3 linked regions of the Callithrix jacchus genome follow. The protein of the gene in region 3 purifies or fractionates together with the protein of the main gene of each other region. This does not show direct contact. Links are inferred from orthologs where the notes say so. Each region holds a gene or a part of one and is shown on either strand. Other genes may lie near its edges.

Region 1 (5,860 bases), on a different chromosome or scaffold from region 3:
ACTGCACCCAGCCTAATTTTTGTATTTTTAGTAGAGACAGGGTTTTACCATATTGCCCAAGCTGGTCATGAACTCCTGATCTCAAGTGATCTACCAGCCTCAGCTTCCCAGAGTGCTGGGATTACAGGCATAAGCCACTGCGCTGGGCCTTAAAAACTTTTTTCAGTGGCCTCACACAATCAATCTCTCATTTAGATTAGTCACATGTATGCTGATGTTTTCATCACAATGAAAAGAAGGAAAAAAGAGGTTTCAGAAAATAGAATCCATGAAGAGGCTAGTAATCAATCCTCTGACCACAGAAAATCAGTGATACACTGCTAAGATCACAATATCATAACAAAGAGGTATAATAAATTTTTTCTAAAATACCCAATTCATTTTTACAACAAATCACACTGATAAATGTTTCTAAATGATTCATGTATTTTCATGTGAGCTTATTAATATTTATGCTTTTCTGATATTAATTTTGTCCTACTCTTATTTCAAGGTCTGACCATAAATTTCTGGGCTGTCTCAAATATCACAAGGGCCAGGAATAAACCACAAATGTGGCAATTCATCAACATTTATTTTCACAAATGCAATAACTAAATCTGTCATGAGGTTAATTTCTCCTAATTTGTATAAAATAATCCCATTAATCTATGAAAAATCATGATCATATCGATTTTTCTAGGGCTTAAACCCTTAGACATCTCTTCGATTACTTTTTAGTGTAAAGAAAACTAAGTGCATTTTATATTAATATTTAAACTACTGATACCTGTAAACAAAGTAGCATTTATTAAAATATACACTTAATTTATACTAAATTCCAGGGTGATTTATAGAAATTTTTCACCCTTAATTTTTAAAGGAACACAACATGATTTTTCTAAACATTACCAGTCAAGTATATACAAAATTGAAATACGTCATTCAAGCCAGATTGTGATTTTAAAATAACAAACCTCTAAATAGCTAAATAATGTACAATGTGTAAAATTCCAATTAAACACAGGTATAATTCTTATAGAAATGTTGGCCCTATAATACCGAGCGATATTTACAAGCAAACATGATCCAAACAGCACATGCAGATTCAGGGTAAGTAAACACTCGGACACGAACTGCCAGTCGCACTTGGTCTCCACGGCAACAGATTATTTCTTCACAGAAAGGAGATCTATTTAAGAAAAAATATATATTCAATTAAGAAGTGACCATGCACCTCACTTTTTTATTTCCAAGTAAATCAATATTTAAAATAATTTTTTCAGGCTAGGGAAGGTGGTTCATGCCTGTAATCCCAGAATTTTGGAAGGCTGAGGCAGGTGGATCATCTGAGGTCAGGAGTTCAAGACAAGCTTGGCCAACATGGTGAAACCCGTCTCTACTAAAAATTACAAAAATTAGCCAGGTGTGGTGGCAGGCACCTGTAATCCCAGCTACTTGGGAGGCTGAGACAGAAGAATCTCTTGAACCCGGGAGGCGGAGGTTGTGATGAGCCAAGATTGTGCCACTGTACTCCAGCCTAGGCAACAGACTGAGACTCCATCTCAAAAATGAATAATAAATAAAATAATTTTTTCAAATTCTGTCAATGCTATCAAAGACACTGTAATTTTGGTCAAGCTATTCAAATCATAGACTATTTCCATATTGTCCAAACAAAATCAGAGATACCTGACTGAGACTGTACCAAAATCACTGAGAAAATAATCCCAGACTATCTAGGGCTACATTTCAGACCTAATGAATCAAAATCTGTGGCAAGGAGGGTAAGTCATTGTAAAAGATCCCATGTGACTCTGATGTCATTCCTAAATAACTACCAGATTAGGCCAGGTACAATGGCTCATACCTGTAATCCCAGCACTTTAGGAGGACAAAGTGGGAAGACTGCTTGAGCCCAGGAATTTCAATACCAGCCTGGGCAACACAGGAAGACCCCCATCTCTACAAAATAAAGAAAAAAAATAGCCAAGTATGATGGTGCATGCCTGTGGCCCCAGTTGCTTGGGAGGGTGAGGTGGAAGGCCTTTCACGGGCCCGGGAAGTCAAGGCTGCAGTGAACCATAAATGTGCCACTGTACTCCAGTGTGGACAGCACAGTGAGACCTTGACTTTGAAAAAAAAAAAGGAAATAAAAAACCCCTATCAGACTGATCTCTAAGATTCCTAAACTGAAAACCTGATTCCACAAATTACATCTTACCGAAGACATGTGGCAAATGCACGTCTTGCATTTCTATACACAAAATGTATTGGGAACCCTTTAAATGTATGACCATCAGGTACAGCCCTTCTTATGGCATCTTGAAATTCTTCATTGCCTGCTGATATACTTGTTGTACGCTCAAATTCATAAGAAGCCAAAGCTGGTGAAAGAAGATAGGACAGCTGGTCTTCCCAAACAGTAGTGAGACCAAGGTCCTATAAGCAATCAAGAGAAAAAGAAAAAATGAAATACATTAATATTTTTAAAACCAGCTAAATAAAAATGTTGATTATTTTAATGTATACCAAGAAAAGATTTTTAAAAGCTATCATAATATTTTCATAATTACAAAGATGCATAGAAATAAAAGTCAGATAAAAGAAACTATAGGTGATCAGATTTTACTTCTCAGAAAAACCAAACATTCGAAACAGTGATGTTTCATGAAGGCTCCAAATCCTGTACTTCTTTAATATCTACTAGAAAATACTGTATGAAACAGTCCTAATATGGAGTGTTAGTGAATTTTGAGATATTTTACTTAAAGAGTTTATTAAGATTGAATCTGTTTACTAAAGACTGACTGTTCCTACCATAAACTCAACTGCAGAGGGGAGCAAAGTCAGCAAATGAATCCTATATGTAATTAAACAAATATTTACTGAACATGTACTCTATAAAACTTAGTGTAAGAGATAAAAAGATGAAGACATGTTATAGGCCCCTAGGGGGCTTAAAACATATTTCTATAGAATGTTAAAAACAACATGATTCCATTTTTTTTTTTTTTAATTTTTTGAGACAGAGTCTTACTCTGTTGCCCAGGCTGGAGTGCAGTGGTGCGATCTTGGCTCACTGCAACTTCTGCCTCCCAGGTTCAAGCGATTCTCCTGCCTCACCCTCAGGAGTTGCTAGGATTACAGGTACCCGCCAGCAAGCCCAACCAATTTTTGTATTTTTAGTAAAGACAGGGTTTCACCGTGTTGGCCAGGCTGATGTCAAACTTCTGACCTCAAGTGTTCCACCCACCTTGGCCTCCCAAAGTGCTAGGATTTACAGGTGTGAGCCACTGAGCCCAGCCCATGATTCCATTTATAACACCAAATGACCTATTGCTATCTAGACACAAGAAGTTAAAAATAATATTGTTACAAATATAAAAAATTCTCCAAATTCTAGATATTTTGATTATCATAATAGATGTTTGGCATTTCCTTATTTTACATTCAAGGTAACTTGTCACAAATGATCTCAAAGGTCCATGATTAACAATGCTTTTCCCGTGGCAAAATGTGAACCTTTGCTGATTTATAGGCACCCTTAAGTAGTGATCAACACTGGCATCTATCACAGCTTTATTTTCTTTTTCTATAAACAGTAATTCCTTTTTTTTTTGAGACAGGGTCTTACCCTGTCACCCAGACTAGAGTGCAGTGGTATCATCTCAGCTTACTACAACTTCTGCCTCCCCAGTTAAACTGATCCTTTCACCTTAGCATCCAAGTAGCTGGGACTATAGGCATGTGACACGATGCCCGGCTAAATTTTTGTATTTTTTTGTAGAGATGGATTCTCACCCAGGCTGGTCTTGAACTCCTGAGCTCAAGTGATCCAACCATCTCAGGCTCCCAAACTGCTGGGATTACAGGTGTGAGATACTGTGCCTGGCCAAAAGTAATTATTATAAAATAAAATATTGCTTTTATTTATAAGCAGAACCTAAGAAAAGAAAGCTAAAGGTAATACAAGTGATGGAAGGAAAGAGAAAGTAATAAGGGGCTTTCATCTCCAGCAATATAATGGACCAGAGGTCTCCTGATCAACTCTTGCTTAAAAACACACTACAAACTCCAGATTTTCCAAAATATACATTTAAATGCTTTGATGAGTTGACAAGCAAATAAGGAATATGTACACACACACACACACATTTTTTTAAGACGAAGTTTTGCTCTTCTTGGCCAGGCTGGAGTACAATGGCATGATCTTGGCTCACCGCACCTCCAATTCCTGGGGTCAAGCAATTCTCCTGCCTCAGCCTGCCGAGTAGCTGAAATTACAGGCATGTGCCACCATGCCCAGCTAATTTTATATTTTTTAGTAGAGACAGGGTTTCTCCATGTTGGTCAGGCTGGTCTCAAACTCCCAACCTCAGGTGAATTGCCCACCTCAGCCTCCCAAAGTGCTGGGATTACAGGCATTAGCCACCGTGCCTAGCCTGAATAAGGAATATATTAGAGGCCAAAGCTAAGAGTAACTGGGAACCCAGAGAACATGTTTGATAAATCAGTTTGCCTTTGACAGCCTCAAAGAACACAGAAAACACCCACGGTAGAGAGTGGAATAAGGAACCCCAAAAGGTGAATCAGAAATAAACCTTTTGTAGGAATTTTGGATTCTAGTCTTTTCATGGTAATATGTATTACAAATAACTTTTCCCACTCCACAGCTTCAATCTCTTAATGTTTTCTTTTGATGAACTTGTCTGTAAAATATATTAATCTTTTCCTTATGACTAATACTTTTTATGTGTTCCTTAAGGTACTTTACAAAGGAAATCTACATGCTATTAGACAAGAGGCTTGATCTGGCTGGATGCAGTGGCTCAAGACTGTAATCCCAGCACTTTGGGAGGCTGAGGAGGGTGGATCACTTGAGGTCAGGAGTTCAAGACCAGCCTGACCAATATGGTGAAACCCCATCTCTACAAAAATACAAAAATTGGCCGGGCATGGTGGCACGTCTATAATCCCAGTTACTCAGAAGGGTGAGGCAGAAGAATTGCTTGAACCTTCATTTCTAGAAGGAAGTAATACATTCTATAAGCATTAATGAATTTGGAGATTTCTGAGTCTTAGAACTTGAACTCTCATGACTTTCAAAATTACAATGTTAATAGTAGGGACTGTAGTTGCTTTGTTTGGGGCTAGAATACCGACTGGCACTATCACGCACACCAAAAAAATAGTTAAATACATAAAGAAATGAAAAAAGTATGAAACTACAACTATTTCAGTGTGAATTACCTTCCTGTGTTCTGATACTAGGAGCCTCAGTTGCATTTCAATTTCATTACTGGTTACTGACGCATCAATTGTGGATGCACACAGAGGTGGAAAGGGAGGAAGGGACGTTGTAGCTCCAGGAGCACACACGGATTTAATTGCTTCCTCACTCATGGGTTTCCATTTGGATTCATCATTCAAATCAAATACACAGGTTTCTACTGCATCAGAGGGTTGACAATTTCCCAGGAACATTTGATGGTTGAAAACACAACCAATTGTTCGATATGGGTACAATGGTTTGGGCTGTTCAGCAACTGGAGGTTCATCAGGACTGGCAGGTTTATGGATGTACCTAAAAAAAATTAAATGATTTTATATATGAGAACTTAAAAATTAAGAAGGCAGCATTTTACTGAGGAAATTATTCTAACACTTAAGGCCATAACTACTTCTCAGAATTAGAGTTTAATACTCGTTTTTCCTTTTCCTATTTCCACAATTTGATTACCCTGTATTAATTAATTGTATGGTACATCTCATAATAATGAAACCAACTCTACTCCTTTAACAACAGAATATATCCTATGTATATTGTTAAGATGAAAGGCCAGGTGCGGTGGGGCTCATGCCTGTAATCCCAGCACTT
Region 2 (6,118 bases), on a different chromosome or scaffold from region 3:
ACTATATCCTGTGCTCAGAACTCTTCATTGACTCCTTTTATGAAAAGAACCAAATTCATCAAGGAACTGGCCCTTGCTTATTTCTCCAGAGGATCGTAAGAATTAAAACTGGGAAGGCAATTTAGCACAGACTCTTGAGTAAGACTGTTTTCAAATCCTATCATTACCACTTATAAGCTGTGTAACCATGGCAATTACCTTTCTTTGTCTCCATTTCTTCATCTGTATCATGGTAGAAATGACATTTCATATGATAAGTATGAAATAAGCAAAAATGAATTAATTCATATGAAGTGCCTGACACATAGTAAGGACTCCATGGAAGCTATTTTCACTTATATTCCAGTCAAAATGAATAACTGTAGCTTCCTAAATACTCCATAACATCTCTTACTTCTAGGTCTTAGCAAATGTGTTACCTTCTACCCAGAATGTTCTTTCTTTAACCACCATATACATTCTCATTCCTCTTACCAGTCTAACTTCTACTTCAGGTCTCAGTTCACAGATCACATCCTGAACCTTAAGACTGATTATGGCATCCCTCTCCAGAGTATCCCAGAATATGTCCTGATATATCTTCCTAAGTAACATATTATCACTATGTTATGCTTATTATTGACTGTAAATATCCTTGAGAAGCAGAACATAGTTGCCCACTATATCACTAGCAACTAGCACAGTCTCTGGTATGCTGTAAAGACTCACTAAAACTCAATGACTGGTTAAGGGCAAAGAAGTAATTACCAAAGCAACTATATCCGTATTTCATCTCAAGGAACTTAGCAGCCGAAAAGGAACACAGGCCATATATTTAAGTTTTCTCTGTGTGAAACTATGAGTAAAGATAATAGTCTAAGATATAAATGGACAAGGTAGTTCTGATTAGCTAAGAGTGTGTGGTATGAATGATAAGTCAACTGATACAGGCCTAAAGAGAAGAATAAAAGTCAAGAAAACCACAGGCATTCCCCTAGGCAATTCTACCAGTGAATATCATAAGTTAGATCCTTTATAACTATTAAAAAATCCACATGTCTGTTATGTTTTGCAGAGTTAACTAACCAGACAATGCTCTAAGAACTTGTTCTTAACATTTAAGTGGCATCAATCCATACTTTCTCTACCACGTTGTTTTGATAGCTTTTATATGGTTCTTTAAAATTTTGGAGTAAAATAGATACATGTAAGAAATTTGTAAGGAATAGTTTCCCTTAAAAATCAATTTATGATAGATGCTCTTATTATTATTGTTGTTTGAGACAGAGTCTCATTTCTGTTGCCCAGGCTGGAGTGCAGTGGTGCAATCTCGGCTCACTGCAACCTCTTGCCTCCTGGGTTCGAGCAACTCTTCTGCCTCAACTACCCAACTAGCTGGGATTACAGGCACTCCCCACTAGGTTCGACTAATTTTTTTTGTATTTTTAGTGGAGATGGGGTTTTTGCCATGTTGGCCAGGCTGGTTTTGAACTCTGGGTCTCAAGTGAGATTGATTCTCTTAAATAGCATATCACTGTTTTCTTAAAATGTATGACCCTCTATTTCTGAGAGAATAATGAACAAAATGAAATAAACAGAATATAACATAATAATGACTTAAAGGACACAAAGGTAAAAAATGTTTCTGAGTATAAGAGACAGGACAGTTACCACATGTAGGCACCAAATTTTACTAAGTTTACTAATAGCTGAGGTGAAATAAAAAACAAGTAAGTGTTAAATAGAAATGTTAATAAATAAATAAAACATTAAATAAGAAGCTGAGGTAAAATAGGAAATTTTCTTCAAGAAAATACAAATTTACCTGCAAAAAACTTTTTTTCCAAAACTAAATCCCAGGGAACACTGCAAAAATTATTAGTTTACAACAAGGAATAACATGAGTTAATAAAAACTATGTATTAAACATGTTATTTTAAATATCATTGATAAAATGTTGAGATTAACACTTTTCAAAAACAATATATATATATCTCATATATAAGGATACAACCAAAAACAAGAAATTTAATTAAACATTATTGAATGTATCATCAAAAGATTCATTTCCAAATCTACTAATCATATAAATACATTGAAATAAACAAATATAACTTTTATGCAAAATAAACTATGATACTAAGATCACTTCTTTATGCAAGTCTATTAGTTTCTTGACACTAATCTTCCAGACAAAAGCATCAATTTTAGGTAGTAAGTGTGATATATCCTGAGAAAAATGTACCTCCAAATATAAAGAATTAATCTTCAAGTCATATTCACTAAAAGTACCTGTTCCATTATATTTTAAAATTTGTGATGACAAAATGAACAGTGTTATAAAATCTTATAAGTGTACATCATTCCTCAAATATAACATACAATACAAAAATTGATATTGTTACCAATAATTATAAAAAGCCAGGTAACTTGAACAGTGAAGATTCATGGAAAAAAAAGTGCTTTACTTGCTCATTAACTTTCTTCTCTTTCTCCAACTCCTTTTCCATGTCCTCCAATTCTCTATCTTTTCGTTCTAATTGCTTTTCAAGTTGGCGAATTTCATCACGTAAAAACCGAGTATCCCGACCACCTGCAGACCGCTGAGCCATCTCAAAGTAATAAACCCAAAGTATAAATTATATTATATTTTGAAGTTCAAATGATTCAACAATAAGCAACTTATCTTGACTTTAAATTTTCATTATATTTCAGTGCAGATATTTAAAATCATATTAAGAATCTTTTTTTTTTAATTTAACTTACCTAAGCGTTAGTTCACAGCTAGTAAGTCTTTAAACTTCTCCTGAGCCACCCAGAGCTACAAAGAATTGACTGTTAATCATTCTGTTGTAACCACTGGCCAACAGGTAGCAGACTAAAGGCAAAGGTCCTAAGCCGCAGAGATCTGGAACCCGTGTACGAACCATGAGAAACTCCGTCGCTGTTAGTGAAGTTTAGTGCCTTAACCTGCCCTTTCTCTCATATCATGCACTATTTAGACCAGTGCTGCCCAACAGGACTTTCTAGGATAATAGACATGCTCTCTCTGCTGTTCAGTTCAGTAGCCACTTGTTACATGTAGCTATGTTTGGGTATTTGAAGTGTAGCTACTGTAACTGAAGAACTAAATTTTTCATTTTAATTTTAACAAATAGAAATATAAATAGCTAGTGTTAGTGCCACTTTACTGAACAACTCAGGTTTCATTTATCTTTAAGATTTGTAGCCAACTAAATCCATTTTATTTCATATTCTTGTTAATTTAGGTCATGTCCCAGAACATCAAATCATTTGGTCATCTAACCTGTCTCACATTTATCTCTTCACCTTATAGTTCTGTTTTTCCTCTACCTTAACCAAATTTTTCACACTCTTTCTCTCCTTCAAAAAGCATTCCCTGTGCTAAAGTCTTCTTCCAAGATAAATATTTCACAACCTCAGATTATTTACTGAATCATCCTTTCCATCTCCTTGCCTTAGCTGCAATTTGGATCCTTTAGGATACTAATGCCCTTGGAACTCTTTCAGTTGGAAGGTGCTCATTCTTTCACAGCCCATATACATTAGGGTCAGGAGGAGGTGTTGGTACTTCTAGGTTTACTCTACCCTGCAACTTCACGTGATCATTCCTATCATTCCTCCATCATCCTATGAAAACCTCAGCTGCTTTCTCACAAGATATCCAGCTCTCCATCTTTACCTACTCATGGTAGCAGCAAACCACCAACTTCCCAGTGACTCTGCAAAATGTACTGGGAATTTAAGCATGTGCCTCACAGACGTTCATCAAATCCCCAAGCAATTTCCACATAACTTTTGTTCTAGTCTATTTTTTTTTTCTTGTTTCTTGAATTCACTATCATCTCTCACTGACACACCAACATCAAATCCTTGTCCAATCAGAAACATTCTTTCAATTATTCCCACTATGCCTGTCCTTTGACCTCACAGGACACTAATCCCTCGACTTCTCACTCCTTATCCCTACCCTTCTGCCCACCCAACCCCAATCTTGACTTTCTTATCTATTCAGTTGAGACTTCATAATCACCACTTCAACCACTTTCCTACCAATATCTTCAAAACTGTCTTACTCTTCTATTGTATAGCAGGTGCCTATCTAAACATTAACACAGAATTGATTCAACTCCATAATTCATTTAATGAGTATTTATTGAAAGTACTTGGCATTTTTCCAGGAGCTGGATATACAATCAAAATAACAAGTCATCCAAGTTCAGAGAATTAACAAATAAAAGAATCAGGACTAGAACTCAAATCTGTCTGACTCCAGATCCCCAACTCTCCAGTCTTTTCTCCATTACATTTCAAATTTTATCTGATTTTCTTAAAATGTGACCACACCATCTCCCACTCTTTCTAACAGATGACATCATCACTGACCTCTCAACTTCCAGGCACTATGCCTACAAACATAAAGGCTTCTACATACATCTACTGTTCCTCCCCTCATCTACTCTTCCTTCTCTCCTAACACAAGGAAAAGGGTATTCCTTCTTTCAAAGGCTGATCCGTTTCAAAAGCTGATCCATCCCTACCTTTTCAGGAATCTGAATTTAGTTCCTCAACAATACATTCATACTTTAGCCCTCAGCTTTGTAAAAAATTACTTCTATAAAACCCTTTGGTCATTATTCCCCAACTCCCCACCCACGCTCCACCTCAGTTACTAGTAAGCTTTCTATGTATTTCCCAAGACTGCAAGCTCCATATAGCAGTTAACTGTTTTAATTTCATTCACAACTGTATGCTCAATCCGAGAATATATACTGAAAAAGCAAATAACCATGATTACTATCATCCTTATAACTTTTCCAGCCAATAATAATTTTAAAATTTGAAAACAATGCAAAATAAAATTTATGACAATTACATTCTAGGAAATACAAAAAGACATACCTCCAGTTCATTTTCCAGTTTCATTACTTTAGTTTTTAATTGATTTTCTGTTTTTTAAAAAAAAAGACAAATGTTTTCATACATTAGCTACCACAAAACAAACTTTTAAATAAATTTAAATAACAAAATTAATTCTTTTAAAAGACTCCATCATGACTATAAGGTATCAAAAAGAATTATATGGCAGATCCATAAAATAGGAGTCTAGAATTGCTTATTATTAAGTAAATGTTATATATTAAAAATAAACTATATACATCTTATAGAATAAATTTGATTTTCTACAGCTTAATGAACACATGGAATTTATTATTTAATACCATAAACTTTTTTCCAAGTTGCTTACCAAATTTTGCTTGTTCTTCTCCAGCTTTTTCTACTTCTTCCAAAGCCAGCTCTACTTCTTGAGCTTTCATCTAAACATTAAAAAAAGGTTATTTCAATATGCCTTTGTACTAGAATGTAAGCACTGAAAACAAAAATTGTATTTATTATGATTCTTAGTGTCAGCAATGGGGGGCACATGGCGATTTTCAGTAAATATTTGTTAAATAAATACATAATTTTTCTTTCTTTTTTTTTTTTTTTTTTTTTGAGACAGGGCCTCACTTTGTCACCCAGGCTGGAGTGCAGCGACACAATCTCAGCTCACTGCAACCTCTGCCTCCTAGGCTCAAGCAAACTTCCCACTTCAGTCTCCTGAGTAGCTGGGACTACAGGTGCATACCACCATGATCAGCAAGACTTTAAATTTTTTCGTAGAGACAAAGTCTCACTGTATTATTCGCCGTATTATGCAGGCCAGTCTCAAACTCCTAGGCTCAAGCAATTCTCCTGCCTTAGCAACCCAAAGTGCTGGGATTACGGACGTGAGGCAGTAATCCAGGCAACTTTCTTACTTTCTTACTTAAGATTATAATTTCTATTTTTAATAGCATGAAATATTTTTGATTCTCCCTTTTACCTCAAGTCTTAAGTCTTACATCCAGTAATACAACATCTCCCTTTGTAATTTTTTTCACTACTTTTTTTCTGTTCCAATTGTTATTATTCTAACACATAATTTCATGTTTAAACTCCTCTATAATGTGATGTCTATATAGCTCCAGTAATCCTTCTATTTGTCATATATTATATATTGTTTTGCCTTCCTAAGGCATATTTTTGTACCTATCAACTGTGGTTCAGAAACCTTTATTGCCTTCTCAATTGCTGG
Region 3 (6,118 bases):
AGCACTTTGGGAGGCCGAGATGGGCGAATCATGAGGTGATTGAGACCATCCTGGCCAACATGGTGAAACCCCGTCTCTACTAAAAATACAAAAATTTGGGAGTGGTGGTGCGTGCCTGTGGTCCCAGCTACTTGGGAGGCTGAGGCAGGAGAATCGCTTGAACCCATGAGATGGAGGTTGCAGTGAGCCAAGATTGTGCCACTGCACTCCAGCCTGGTGACAGAGTGAGACTTCGTCTCAAAAAAAAAAAAGAAAAGAAATACCAAGTATGTATATATAGCAAGTATATATTCATGGATCCATTATAATTCAGCTAAATTCAACAAATCATTCTTCCCAAATATACAGTCAATGATTTTCCCTAAAGTATCTTATGTACTACTGTCCTACTGCTACAGTCTTCCCATAATTTGTTCCTAAAAACATCTTATTCAACTACAACAATATGATTTTTTAATTTTTTTTTTTTTTTTTTTAAGATCTAGTCTTGCTCTGTTGCCCAGGCTAGAGTGCAGTAGTGCCAACACGGCTCACTGCAGACTCAAACTCTAGGGCTCATATGATCCTCCCACCTCAGCCTCCAGAGTAGCTGGGACTACAGGCACATGCCAGCACACCAGGCTAATTTTTGTATATTTTGCAGAGATGGGGTCTTGCCATACTGCCCAGGCTGCTTTTGAACTCTTGGCCTCAAGTGATCCTCCTGCCATGGCCTCACAAAGTGCTAGGATTGTAGGTATAAGCCACCATGCCCAGCCTGCATTTGTTTATATGTAGCTTTTCATAGGCAAGGGAAGCTGAAAAGTAGAATTAAAACCTTCAGCAAGAAAGGAAAAAGCCCCTCAACTCAAGTGCTCAGTCAACAGGAGTCCATTCAGCTCTATCTCAAAAACTCTACAAAAAGGCCCACTAGGCTGAGGGCAGCTCTCAGCACATGGCACTGTCTCCCTTGCCCACTTTGACAGCTACCTGACTGCCTCCAAGACTGGAGGCTCATCTTGCATTAAAGCACTTACTAGAAATTGCCACTCCAGGCTTGGAATGATGGCTCATGCCTGTAATCTCAACACTTTGGGAGGCTGAGGCAGGTGGATCACTTGAGGTCAGGAGTTCAAGACCAGCCTGACTAACATGGTGAAACCCCATCTCTACTAAAAATACAAATATTAGCTGGGCTTAGTGGTGCATGTCTGTAATCCCGGCTATTTGGGAGGCTGAGGCAGGAGAGTTGCTTGAACCTGGGAGGTGGAGGCTGTAGTGAGCCAAGATTGCGCCATTGCACTTTAGCCTGGGCAACAAGAGCGAAACTCCATCTCCAAAAAAAAAAAAAAATGAAAGAAATTTCCACTCCGTTAGTCTTATGTATTTCTGATATTCACTGAGGCAGCCTCTAACCTTGCTATGCTATCTACTTAGAATATTCAAGTTGGCTCCCCAGGTAACTGTGGTTGTTTTTATTAGAGCTCTGATAAAGTTGCACAGGATAGGCCAGGACTGATGGCTCAAAGCTGTAATCCCAGCACTTTGGGAGGCCAAGGAGGGCTGATCACTTGAGCTTAGGAGTTCAAGACTAGCCTGGCCAACATGGTGAAACCCTGTCTCCACAAAAAATACAAAAATTAGCTGGGTGTGGTGGTGCATGCCTGTAAATCCCAACTACTTGGAAGATTGAGGTGGGAGAATCTCTTAAACCCAGGCCTGCAGTGAGCCGAGATCACATGAAAGCAATCCAGCCCGGGCGACACAGCAAAGACCCTATCTCAAAAAAATTTTTTTTTAATTAAAAAAAATAAAGTTGCACAGGTTTTAAGCAGTCTGACCCAACACTGTATTTCCCATAAGCCCTAAGAGCTTCATTTATTTGATTTATGTCTTCTATATCAGTAATAAATTATGAACCATGACAACAAAGTAAGGAGTAATGAAGGAAAGAAACATGCTTTCATAAATTCTTGTTAATGGATACAACAGAAAAAACTGAAATAATGTTTATTAATAAAGACGCATTCTTTTTTTTTTTTTTTTTTGAGACGGAGTCTGGCTCTGCCTAGGCTGGAGTGCAATGGTGCAATTGCAGCTCACTGCAGCCTCCACCTCCCGAGTTCATGCAATTCTCCTGCCTCAGTCTCCCAAGTAGCTGGGATTACAGACATGCACCATTAAGCCCAGCTAATTTTTGTATTTTTAGTAGAGATGGGGTTTCACCATGTTCGTCAGGCTGAACTCCTGACCTCAAGTGATCCACCTGCCTCAGCCTCCCAAAGTGTCGGGATTACAGGCGTAAGCCACCGTGCCCAGCCTAAAGAACCATTCTTGAACCACTACTCAGAGCCTTATTTCTGATACTTCGTCTAATAATTTGACATTAAAGAGTCTACTGAAGGGCCAACTACATGAAGATCACACTACAAATGAAAAAGCAAACTGAAGTAAACATTAGAAACCATAGTCCAAAAGAAAGACCTCATAGTTATACACTGAATTAAACTATAAGTGTGTTTCAGGCAAGAACTGTTTTGGGCTGGGTGCAGTGGTGCGCACCTGTAATCCCAGCTACTCAGGAGGCTGAGGCACAAAAATCACTTGAACCCAGAAGCAGGGATTGCAGTGAGCTAAGATCCCAATAAGGACTAAGAGCCTGGCAACAGAGCAAGACTCTATCTCAAAAAAAAAAAAGGAACTCTTTCCTCCAGTTATGAATAATATTCTCAGTAATACCAAGTGGACTATGAAAGCTTCATCATTTAAATAAAATCCAACGAGGCACGCCTGTAATCCCAGCTACTCAGGAGGCTGAGGCATGAGAATTGCTTGAACCAGGAGGCAGAGATAGCAGTTAGCCAAGCTTGCGCCACTGCACTCCAGCCTGGGCAACTGTGCCAGACTGTCTCAAAAAAGAAAATCCTGGCCCAGTGCAGTGGCTCATGTCTGTAATCCCAGAGCTTTGGGAGGCCAAGACGGGATGCTCACTTGAGCTCACGAGTTTCAGACCAGCCTGGGCAACATGGCGGAAACACCATCGCTGACTAATATGAAAATTAGTCAGGCATGGTGGCATGAGCCTGTAGTCCCAGCTACTTCAGAGGATGAGGTGGGAGGATGGCTTGAGCCCAGGAGGCGGAGGTTGAAGTGAGCTGAGATCATGCCACTTCACTCCAACCTGGGGTGACAGAGCCAGACCTTGTCTCAAGAAAATCTTTTAAGAAAGTCTATCAAATGGCAATAAACTGTAGCTGACTATATGCTTTCTAATAAGATAAATAAAATTAAGTGCCCATATAAATAAAGACCATTTTTTTCCCCAAAAATGTCAGTTAAGAGTATTAAAATAAAGGTATCATTTGCAGTATAAAACACTTCAAGGATTCCTTACCTTTGGAACTGGTTTCTAACATTTTATTCTTGTTAATGAAGACAGGTCCCTTGGTGTATCTTTTTTCTAGCAAATGTTGCCTTTCTTGTTCAGTTATTCCACTTGTTATGACATAAGGGCAGTTTTCTTTTTGCAAATCATCAATATCTAAATCAAGTCTCCGTTTAACTTTCTCAAAACTGTTATCCAAAAATGGTTCATTTCCATGGGACACCGTAGGTGTGTCCATCTGCTGTCTCGTATTCTGGTTTTGCATCAGTAAAGGAGAAGGATTTTTTACATCATAAGACTTATTCAGTTCCATTTGTAAACTGCAGTTTTTCTCTGATATACTGGCTGGCTTGAGTCCACTCACAGTTCCAGAGTTTTGACTTGCTATGCACTGACTGCTGGCATATGGTTCATGCAGCTTTGGCATCGCAGCACAGGTACTGTTCATTTTGTGTGCACCTCTCTCATCAGATGTTAACTGACCTTCCACAGTAACAAGTCCATGAGTAACTTTATTTTCTAAATAATTTCCTGAAGATTGACATACCTGATTTGTTTTACCTAAAACCATATCTTCTATGACTTCAGATGTATTTTTGCCTACATAAGCCATGCTTGAACAAACGCTTGCGAAATCAATTGGTAACTTTGGCACAATTTTGGGCACATTTGTTTTTTCATCAGTATCATGAACAATTAAGTCCATTGCCTGTTCTTTTCCTTTAGGGCTTAATTCACAGGCATTTATCGGGTTATTTATAAGTATATGACATGCTGATGATGTCCTGGAATTCCTTCGATGCATTTTAGGACTCATACTTGGCTCTGGACTAGGTAATTTGGCATAGGAACCTGTAAGACTTTTGATAACATTATTTTCAGTAACAAAAGTGGGAATAACTTTAAAATCCGAATTAGATTCTAGAACAGTGGAATGACCAGTTCGTACAGGTATGTCCACTTTCGAAAAGCTAGCTAAAACTGGCGTACTCATGCTGCTTGCGTGAGCAGAAGCACCTTGGAGAAGAACATTTGATTTATTAAGGCTTGGTTTGTCGGGAATAACTGAGACACAGTGTTTGCCTGTCAACGGGGCCTTCTCTTTAACAAAGTCAGCCACTTCAACAGCATCATTTTCTTTCTCTGAATGACTCTCATTAACAATTCTCATTGTACTACCTCTCAGATTGCGTCTAGATTGTTCTCTTTCTATATATTCCTTTGACTTTTTCATCAGATTCTGAAGACTCATTACATAGGGATCTGGGGTGACTTCTGCCAAAAGTAGTGGATCCTGTGATTCATTTATTGAGAAGAGACCATCAGAAATAAGAGTCTCTTGTGGGGTTGCTGAAGAGGTCTTTGGAAAAGCTTCACTTTCTACATGACTAATATTGGAATTATCACATTGCTTCAGAGAATTAAATCCTTCTGAATCTCTAGCTAAGCCTATTCCATTAGTTTTACATTGGTCCTCATTATCCAATGGCAAAATCCCGGCTATGTTATCAAGGTTTACTGAAGTAGAATGTTCAGTATGGCTTGGAAAGCTATTTGGAAATGTAGCAGGAACATTCAAGTTTCTGACTTCTGAATTAGAGTAAACCGTTTCCATCTCCCACTGATCAAAATCACTGGCATTAGGTGCTTTTCTAACCTGAAAGAGGAAATTTAAAAGTTAGTATTTCCTTATCACACAAAAAAGTCTCTGATTTCACTGTTTTCTAAAATAAAATAAATTGAAGATTTGGAGTTCTGACATTTCAAAACATAAACAAACACTAAGATGACAGGTTTCCATGGTATCCTATGTCACATGGGGCTCAAATTATTATTGAAAAAACACTACTGGTCATCCAGCCTAAGTCATTAAAGAAAAAAAAGAAAATTAATCTGATACAAATATGAACATATATATATGTATATATATACACACACACACACACACACACACACAGAGAGATATTCATATATCTCTGTGCAATTTAATCTTGGATAGAAGCACTTTCCTTAACTTTCTTCCAGTCATATGTTATTAACATTAAAATAGCTATCATCCAAGGATGATAATATATGCAATAAACAGGAAGTAATGAAATGTCTTACATAAACAACTCCCCTCTAGCAAAAACTTCTCCAGGACATTGATTAAACAAAAATGATTCAGTAATAAGACTCCTGCACCCACATGCTTACTCCAAAGTTTAACTAAAATCCTCCATAAAATGAGGCAAATTTGTAGTAAACAATAGCTCTGCCAGGCAGCTTAAATCATTTAGAAATAAGAAATATTTCAACTTAAAACTCAATTCATTAAAACAAAATTCAATTAGATTAATTGATGCATTAAAACAAAATTCAATTAGATTAATTAATTAAAATAGCAACTTGTTAATGAGTTTCGGAACAGCCAAAATAGGTAAAAATTTAGTAGATAAAGAAGAGAACAACTGTATACACGAAGAAAAAAAATTTTTTTAAATATATGTAAAGCCGGGTGACGTGGCTCATGCCTGTAATCCCAGCACTTTGAGAGGCCAAGGCAGGCAAATGGCTTGAGGCCAGGAGCTCAAGACCAGCCTGGCCAACATGGCAAAGCCCCATCTCCACAAAAAATAGAAAAATTGGACATGCATGGTGGCAGGCACCTGTAATCCCAACTACTCAGGAGGCTGAGGCAGGAGAATTGGTTGAACCTGGGAGCAGAGGTTGCAGTGAGCTGAGATCACACCATTGTACTCCAGCCTGGGTGAC

Evidence for each region. Proteins that work in one complex are often made in the same cells at the same time.
Region 1: the proteins of CCP110 (region 3) and CEP76 purify together in Homo sapiens (co-immunoprecipitation; 4 studies listed by BioGRID and IntAct, with this or other methods). This does not show direct contact. The link is inferred for Callithrix jacchus from reciprocal best matches to the Homo sapiens genes CCP110 and CEP76.
Region 2: the proteins of CCP110 (region 3) and CEP290 purify together in Homo sapiens (co-immunoprecipitation; 6 studies listed by BioGRID and IntAct, with this or other methods). This does not show direct contact. The link is inferred for Callithrix jacchus from reciprocal best matches to the Homo sapiens genes CCP110 and CEP290.

Annotation. Positions count from the first base shown.
Region 1 is NC_133514.1:49,821,370-49,827,229, reverse strand, and holds part of CEP76 (centrosomal protein of 76 kDa), read right to left. Parts: intron 5,567-5,860; coding exon 5,233-5,566; intron 2,422-5,232; coding exon 2,204-2,421; intron 1,172-2,203; coding exon 1,033-1,171; 3' UTR 1-1,032. UniProt on the Homo sapiens protein: Centrosomal protein involved in regulation of centriole duplication. Required to limit centriole duplication to once per cell cycle by preventing centriole reduplication.
Region 2 is NC_133510.1:93,052,230-93,058,347, reverse strand, and holds part of CEP290 (centrosomal protein of 290 kDa), read right to left. Parts: intron 5,319-6,118; coding exon 5,249-5,318; intron 4,950-5,248; coding exon 4,903-4,949; intron 2,592-4,902; coding exon 2,448-2,591; intron 1-2,447. UniProt on the Homo sapiens protein: Involved in early and late steps in cilia formation. Its association with CCP110 is required for inhibition of primary cilia formation by CCP110.
Region 3 is NC_133513.1:20,945,577-20,951,694, reverse strand, and holds part of CCP110 (centriolar coiled-coil protein of 110 kDa), read right to left. Parts: intron 5,022-6,118; coding exon 3,374-5,021; intron 1-3,373.